2 linked regions of the Callithrix jacchus genome follow. The protein of the gene in region 1 interacts with the protein of each later gene in a biochemical or structural test. Links are inferred from orthologs where the notes say so. Each region holds a gene or a part of one and is shown in the gene's direction. Other genes may lie near its edges.

The links.
Region 2: the proteins of SNAP23 (region 1) and STX2 form a complex in vitro, tested with the Homo sapiens proteins (2 studies listed by BioGRID). The link is inferred for Callithrix jacchus from reciprocal best matches to the Homo sapiens genes SNAP23 and STX2.

The regions. Positions count from the first base shown.
Region 1 is NC_133509.1:30,176,226-30,180,132, forward strand, and holds the start of SNAP23 (synaptosomal-associated protein 23), read left to right. Parts: upstream 1-1,359; 5' UTR 1,360-1,443; intron 1,444-2,871; exon of another isoform or gene 2,872-2,979; 5' UTR 2,980-3,076; intron 3,077-3,598; exon of another isoform or gene 3,599-3,724; 5' UTR 3,725-3,765; intron 3,766-3,907. UniProt on the Homo sapiens protein: Essential component of the high affinity receptor for the general membrane fusion machinery and an important regulator of transport vesicle docking and fusion.
Region 2 is NC_133510.1:134,052,160-134,056,066, reverse strand, and holds the start of STX2 (syntaxin-2), read left to right. Parts: upstream 1-1,549; 5' UTR 1,550-1,720; coding exon 1,721-1,750; intron 1,751-3,907.

The DNA.
Region 1 (3,907 bases):
ATTCTAGTTGCATCTGAATACTGTCGTCCCTTATTTCATTCACGACCAAACTTGAGAACGGGCCTTAAAGCAAAAAAAAAAAAAATTTTTTTTTGAGATTGAGCCTCTCTCTCGCCCAGGAGGGAGTACAGTGGCGCGGTCTCGGCTCACTGCAACCTCCGCTTCCTGGGGCTCAACCGATTCTCTGCCTCAGCCTCCAGAGTCCTGGGATTACAGGCGCCCACCACCAAGCCCGGCTAATTTTTTGTATTTTTAGTACAGACGGGGTTTCACCGTCTTGGTCAGGCTGGTCTTGAACTCCTTGACCTCGTGATCCACCCGCCTAGGCCTCCCAAAGATCGCAGGCATGAGTCACCGCGCCCGGCCCTTAAAGCAAATTTTAAGGTTTCCCATGGGATTTACAACAGTACTAAACTCTTAGTAAGTACTCAAAAGTTATTTGTGGTTTGAATAGGCTGGATATAAACCATTACGGTGGATACAGCACTTGTTTGCTAAGCAAGAGAACTTCCCTGACCTAGAATGGCAGTCTCAAGTTGCTAAAAGCGAATCTCGAACTTCTCAACAAATCTTACTCTCAAAGATGATTAAACAACAAACTGAAATGGGAGGAGGGTGTAAAGCGTTTCCTCTCCATAACTATAAACCGAGATTCTGACTAAATATTAAATGAACACAGTAACCGCTCCATAATTAGTTGCCATTATTAAGATACATCACACACGGAGAGAAAGGAAAGGAGAAAAAGGAACGAAGGTTGTCAGTCGCGAGAGGTTGAAATGTGTCGCGGGACCTGAGACTACCGGCTTTAAGCACCAGGGTCTTTTGGACTCCCTGCCCAACTGAGGACCGAAGGTCAGCGGCTTCCCCTAAAGGTCAAGGCTTTGGAGCCACATTTCCTTCTGGGGCTGGGAGCAGAGCTGGAACGCCCCCACGAAAATCCGTACCCCGAAGCCAGCAGCACCGCCTGCCTGTAATCCCGCGCCGGCTCTGGGAGAGTGGACCGCTGGGTTACCCCTGCGCCGCAGCCTGCCGGAGCAGAAAGCGGGCCGCGTCTTGCAGCCACACAATCTCCCTAAGGGACAGACCACCAGGACCCTTGGGCTCCAATACGCTCAACGCAGGCCGGCCCATCGATACTCACATTCACAGCCAACCCCTCTTACTCCATCAGGCCGCCGAGAGACAGGCGAGGGAGCTCCCTGACGCCCCAGACTCCCCCCTTCAGTTTTGGGTCCGGGAGCCTGCTCCGGACCCGCTCCCCGCCGGGCCCTGCCACAGCCGCCGCCAGCGCGCAGGCGCACAGCGAGGCCGTCACGCTCTTTTTTTTCCTTTGCCTGCAGCCGTTCTCAATAATCTAGCTTTATTTGAACACAAGAGAGTGAACAACGGACACACAGGAAGAGGTTTTTCTCAAAAAGAATGGAGGAAGAACAAAGGCAGGTCAGCTTGCGGGAGAGTCGGTCCGCAGCATTGGACGCTATGAACAGTCTCCCTGGTCCCTTTTTCATTTTCTTTATTTCTCCTTGTTCTTTCCCGGCCTCCCTCTAGCTCCTTCCTTGGTGTCCCGCCATTTCCTTTAGTCAGTGGCAACTGTTCAGGCTAAAATTTGAAATAACTCCTTCCTTGTAAAATTTACTAAAATTTAATGGGAGGTGCAAGAGCTTTTAGGACAGACCTGCCCGAGTTTCAGATCTCGGACTAGCTACTAATAATTTACGACTTTGGGTAAATTAAAATTTTTCTTGGAACCTCAAGATCTTGAGTTAAAATTAGGATAATGTTGGGCCAGTCACGGTGGCTCATGCCTGTAATCTCAACACTTTGGGAGGCCGAGGTGGGTGGGTCAGGAGATGGAGACCATCTTGGCCAACATGGTGAAACCCCTTCTCTACTTAAAAAAAAAAAAAAAAAAATAGCCTGGTATGGTAGCGGGCGCCTGTAGTCCCAGCTACTCAGGAGGCTGAGGCAGAAGAATCGCTTGAACCCGGGAGGCAGAGGTTGCAGTGAGCCGAAATGACGTCACTGCACTCTAGCCTGGCAACAGATCATGACTCGGTCTCAAAAAAAAAAAAACAAACAAAAAACCCTAAAATTAAGACAATGTTATCTCACAGGGTGTTGCTAAAATTAAATAACATAGGTCAAGTGTTTTATCCATGAATGCTGCCTATCACAGAGCAGACATTCCATTATAACTGGTTTTATTCTTACTCATGCCTAAGGTATTTATAATTTTTTTTTTTTTAGGTAGAAACGGGTTTCACCATCTTGCCCAGGCTAGTCTCAAACTCCTGGGCTCAAGTGAACAGCCTTCCAAAGTGCTGGATTACAGGTGTCACCCACTGCGCCCAGCCTACATTTATTATTATTACTGAGACGAAGTCTCACTCTGTCATCCAGGCTGGAGTGCAGTGGCACTATCTTGGTTCTCTGCAACCTCTGCCTTCCGGGTTCAAGCAGTTCTCCTGCCTCAGCCTCTCAAGTAGCTGGAATTACAGACATACACCACCATGTCCAGATAATTTTTGTATTTTTAGTAGAGATGGGGTTTCGCCATGTTGGCCAGGCTGGTCTCAAATTCCTGACCTCAAGTGATCTGCCCGCCCCGGCCTCCCAAAGTCCTGGGATTACAGATGTGAGCCACTGTGCCCAGCCGCCTATATTTATTATTAAACTTAGCTCATACCCATTCCCTCAGAGCCGTAATTTTAGTGACTGAGACTAATCAGATAAAGGAAATGACATTAAGGTTGATCATTATGTGAAGTGTTCCTCTTATATTATTGAGATTATAACATCTCTGTTTAACCAGACCGTCAATGCCTCAAATAAAAGTGAGCAGTTACATTCATCTCTATGTATATCCAGATTTGCTTCTAGAGGTTCAGGAAACTTCCAGTTCTGTGTTTGTGACATCACAAGTCCTTGAAACACTCAAGGGCTATGGTATGCTGCTCATTTTACTCTCCTTCAAAGGCATGCAATGGAAGAACTATTTTGCCCTGTAAACTCTGGCCCATCGTTCAAGGAAAAGCCTTTAGAAGACCACAGTCAGATATTGGTGATTATTAAGGTAAGCTACTTTAGTGTTTGTCAACTTTGGGATTACTGACATTTTTGGAACATATACTTTTTTGTTGTCAAGGGTATTATGTGCATTATAAGATGTTTAGCAGCAGATCGGGAGCACTAGCTCACATATGTAATCCTAGAACTTTGGGAGGTCAAGGCAGACAGATCGCTTGAGTCCAGGAGTTTGAGACCAGCATAAGTGACATGGTGAAACCTCATCTCTACAAAAAATATGAAAGTTAGCCGGGTGTGGTAGTACACACCTGTACTCCCAGCTACTTGGGAGGCTGAGGTGGGAGGATCTGAGCTGCAGAGGTAGAGGTTGCAGTGAGCCAACATCACACCACTGCCCTCCAGTCTGAGCAAGACCCTGTCTCTCTTTCTCTCTCTGTCTGTCTCTCTCTCTCTCTCTCTCTCTCTCTCTGTGTGTGTGTGTGTGTATGTGTGTGTGTGTGTGTATGTTTAGCAGCATCACTGGACAAGATGCCAGTAGTATCCACCCCCCATTTCCCTGTTATCACAGACATTGCTAAATATCCTCTGGAGGACAAAAGTGTCCCTGGTTGAGAACCATGGAATTATTATCAATGACCATCCCAACCCTAAATGAACTCAACTGTGCATTTTCTCCACCTCTGCCCTTGAAAAGTGACTACTGCTTGAGAAAGCTACACAGGAAGGGAGAAAATGGTGAGTTCATTTTTGCCCATATTAAAAAGGCCCTCAGTACTGCTTACCAGTCCTACAATGTTTTTCTATCCATTTCTTGTATTACTTTCTACAATATTCCAAATCTTCTCAACTTTCCTTTAAACTCCCAATACTATCTCCT
Region 2 (3,907 bases), on another chromosome or scaffold:
TGCTCAATTCTTCGTGTGTGACATGCCAAGAACCTGAGCAACTCTCCGTCAAGAGTTTCCATCAGGTAACAGAACCACAGCACACCTAGAACCATGTCCAAAACGTCCTCTTTTTCTGTGTAGCCTGTTCTCAGGTAGATTTCTTAGGGCTGCCTTCTCTCTCTCTCTCTCTCTCTCTCTTTTTTTTTTTTAAAGATGGGGTTTTACCATGACGGCCAGGCTGGTTTTGAACTCCTGACCTCAGGTGATCCACCCACCTTGGCCTCCCAAAATGCTAGGATTACAGGCGTGAGCCACTACGCCCAGCCAGGGCTGCCTTCTCATGAGATCAAAACCACCTCCTCCTGGAGGTAGTAAAGACTTTAACCTTGTTTAAGAAGAAGTTTGGCCTGGCTTTCTCCTCCTGGAAGGCAATCTGTTTGCCTGGGAATCTTCAGCTAGCCAGAGAGTAACAGTGTGATTTGGGGCTTAACGCTAGGCTTTTTAACCCCAGGCTTGGGATTACATGGATATCACTTAACCAAGAGGCTGATATCAACTAGGAAAGCAATCAGTCAATCACACACATGCAATGGAGCCCAGTCAAAGTTCTGCGAGCTGCAGCTAAGTGAGCTTCCCCGGCTGGCAGTGCTTTGTGTGTGGCCACACTTCAGTGCAGGGCAAGTAATGAGGCCTGACTCCACAGGGAGAGGATCACGGGAGGACCTTGAAGCTCCACACTCTAATCCCCAGGCTCCCCCACTGCTCTTCTTCCTGGGCTGATGTTAATCTGTATCATTTCCCTGTAAGAAACCATAGCTGTGAGTACAGTAATTTTTAGTGAATTCTGTGATCCCTTCCAGCAAATTATGGAACTCGAAGGTGGTTTTGGAAATCCCCAGAACTTGCAGTTGGTGTCGGAGGTGACGGTGGCCTCAGGGACTGTTCCTCCAACCTGTGTAGCTCACCTAAGCTCCTGCACCTTCATGACGACCTCTCTGCCAGTTCTTCTCTGTGCCCATGCCCCCATTTTCTTTTCTCTATTATTTATTTGTCTGTGTCTGTATTGCCTGTGTCTCCCGCCCAGAACTGCATCCCAGGGCAGGGCCTGCGGGTGCTCTTCACGTTACCTCCCCCTAATGTTATGCTCCTTAAGCATCATGTGTGTTACATGATCCCTTCTCCTTCATTCACACCCCAGGCTGGACGTGGACCCTAAGAGAAAGTTCGGCATGTGTGTTAACCAAAGCTGCACCCAGCTCATTCCGGGAGCTTTGCTCTTTGTCACTATTCGTTGAATGATCTATATTTTAATAAGTGAAATAATGGGTGTGAAAGCATAAGAGCAGATCAAGAAGGGACAAACAGCACCCGTAGCTCTCCTGCCAGCCTGGGGCTCAGCCGGGCCCCGCCCCTCCCCGCCCAGGCCCCGCCCTCGGCGCCCCGCCTCTCTGCCAGGCCCCGCCCTCGGAGCCCCGCCTCTCTGCCAGGCCCCGCCCCTCGGGGGGGTGCTCCCGCTGGAAAGCGCCGCCGCCTTGTGGGTCCGTGCGGGGCGCGGCGCAGGCCGGGCATGCGCAGAGCGCGCGGGGCGAGGTTGCCGTGGCAGCGCCGGCTCCTGGGAGGGCGGCGGGCGAGGGGCCGGGACAGCGGGGCCTGAGGCGGCGACCCGAGAGCCCGCGGCCCGGCCGGAGGCGGCTCGGAACAGGCTTGAGCGGCGGGGCGGGCGGCCCGGCCGGCGGGGATGAGGGACCGGCTTCCAGACCTGACGGCGGTGAGCCGCGGCCGCGGGTAGCGGTTCAGGCCCGGCCGGGGCGGGCTCTGCAGGGCGGGCGGGGGCTCGGGGCATCCTGGGCGGGGCTCGAGCGTTCTGGGGCGGGGGCTGCGGGCTGGGGTCTCGGGGAGTCCTGAGAGGGGGCTCCGGGCGGGGTCCCCAGGACGGGGTCTCGGGGAGTCCTGAGAGGGGGCTCCGGGCGAGGTCCCCAGGGTGGGGGTCTCGGGAGTCCTGAGAGGGGGCTCCGGGCGGGGTCCCCAGGACGGGGTCTCGGGGAGTCCTGAGAGGGGGCTCCGGGCGAGGTCCCCAGGACGGGGTCTCGGGTGTCCTGAGAGGGGGCTCCGGGCGGGGTCCCCAGGGTGGGGGTCTCGGGAGTCCTGAGAGGGGGCTCCGGGCGGGGTCCCCAGGGTGGGGGTCTCGGGAGTCCTGAGAGGGGGCTCCGGGCGGGGTCCCCAGGACGGGGTCTCGGGGAGTCCTGAGAGGGGGCTCGGGCGGGGTCCCCAGGGTGGGGGTCTCGGGGAGTCCTGAGAGGGGGCTCCGGGCGGGGTCCCCAGGACGGGGTCTTGGGGAGTCCTGAGAGGGGGCTCCGGGCGGGGTCCCCAGGGTGGGGGTCTCGGGAGTCCTGAGAGGGGGCTCCGGGCGGGGTCCCCAGGGTGGGGGTCTCGGGGAGTCCTGAGAGGGGGCTCGGGCGGGGTCCCCAGGACGGGGTCTCGGGGAGTCCTGAGAGGGGGCTCCGGGCGGGGTCCCCAGGACGGGGTCTCGGGGAGTCCTGAGAGGGGGCTCGGGCGGGGTCCCCAGGACGGAGTCTCGGGGAGTCCTGAGAGGGGGCTCCGGGCGGGGTTCCCAGGGTGGGGGTCTCGGGGAGTCCTGAGGGGGCTCCGGGCGGGGTTCCCCGGACGGGGTCTTGGAGCTTCCTGGCGGGGTCCTCCGGGCCGGTTGGGACCAGAGGAGGGGAGGGGAAGGGAGGGTCCCGGCCTTGACCCCGTCTCCAAGAGGGTTCCCTGTCCGTCACTCCACCTGGCGGATTCTATCCGGCGCTTATGCAGCCGGATCCCACCGGCCTAACTGTCGTCCGCCCCTCGGGGTCCCCGCAGCGGCTGTCAGTCCCCGGGGCAGGCCGGGTCCTCTTGCTCGCTGTTTATCCCTTGGGCTTCACGCAGGATCCTGCACCCAGCGGGAGGCAACAGATGGGTGTTAAATGTGAGCGCCTTAAGAGTGCTAGGTGCTTGGGTGGGGCGAGTGCCAACAGCAGCCGGTGTCTGGTCTCCCCAGTAGTTTGCTTTGGGACCTGGACTTGGGTATGTTGACTCTGAACACACCTCGCGCTTCCAGCCAGCCGAGCACACAGGGGACTTGGCGGATGGCACAGCAAATTACTGTTTACTTTAGCAAGGGAAAAGCAGGTCGCTGAAGAATTTGGAAGGATTTTGATGCATTCTCGCGTGTAAAGGTGACAGGACTGTGCATGTGACAGTGAAACTGTAGCGGTGGCCGTGTACTTTCCAGGCTTGTCTTGTCCAGGATGGCTTAGGGCAACGGGAGTAATAACGACTTTCCCTTTACAATGCAGGTGCCGGTTCACGCTGCGTGCGTACACAGGTGCCGCCGCCGGTTCACGCTGCGTGCGTACACAGGTGCCGCCGCCGGTTCACGCTGCGTGCGTACACAGGTGCCGCCGCCGGTTCACGCTGCGTGCGTACACAGGTGCAGTCGCCGGTTCACGCTGCGTGCGTACACAGGTGCAGTCGCCGGTTCACGCTGCGTGCGTACACAGGTGCAGTCGCCGGTTCACGCTGCGTGCGTACACAGGTGCAGTTGCCGGTTCACGCTGCGTGCGTACACAGGTGCCGCCGCCGGTTCACGCTGCGTGCGTACACAGGTGCCGCCGCCGGTTCACGCTGCGTGCGTACACAGGTGCAGTCGCCGGTTCACGCTGCGTGCGTACACAGGTGCAGTCGCCGGTTCACGCTGCGTGCGTACACAGGTGCAGTCGCCGGTTCACGCTGCGTGCGTACACAGGTGCCGCCGCCGGTTCACGCTGCGTGCGTACACAGGTGCAGTCGCCGGTTCACGCTGCGTGCGTACACAGGTGCCGTCGCCGGTTCACGCTGCGTGCGTACACAGGTGCAGTCGCCGGTTCACGCTGCGTGCGTACAC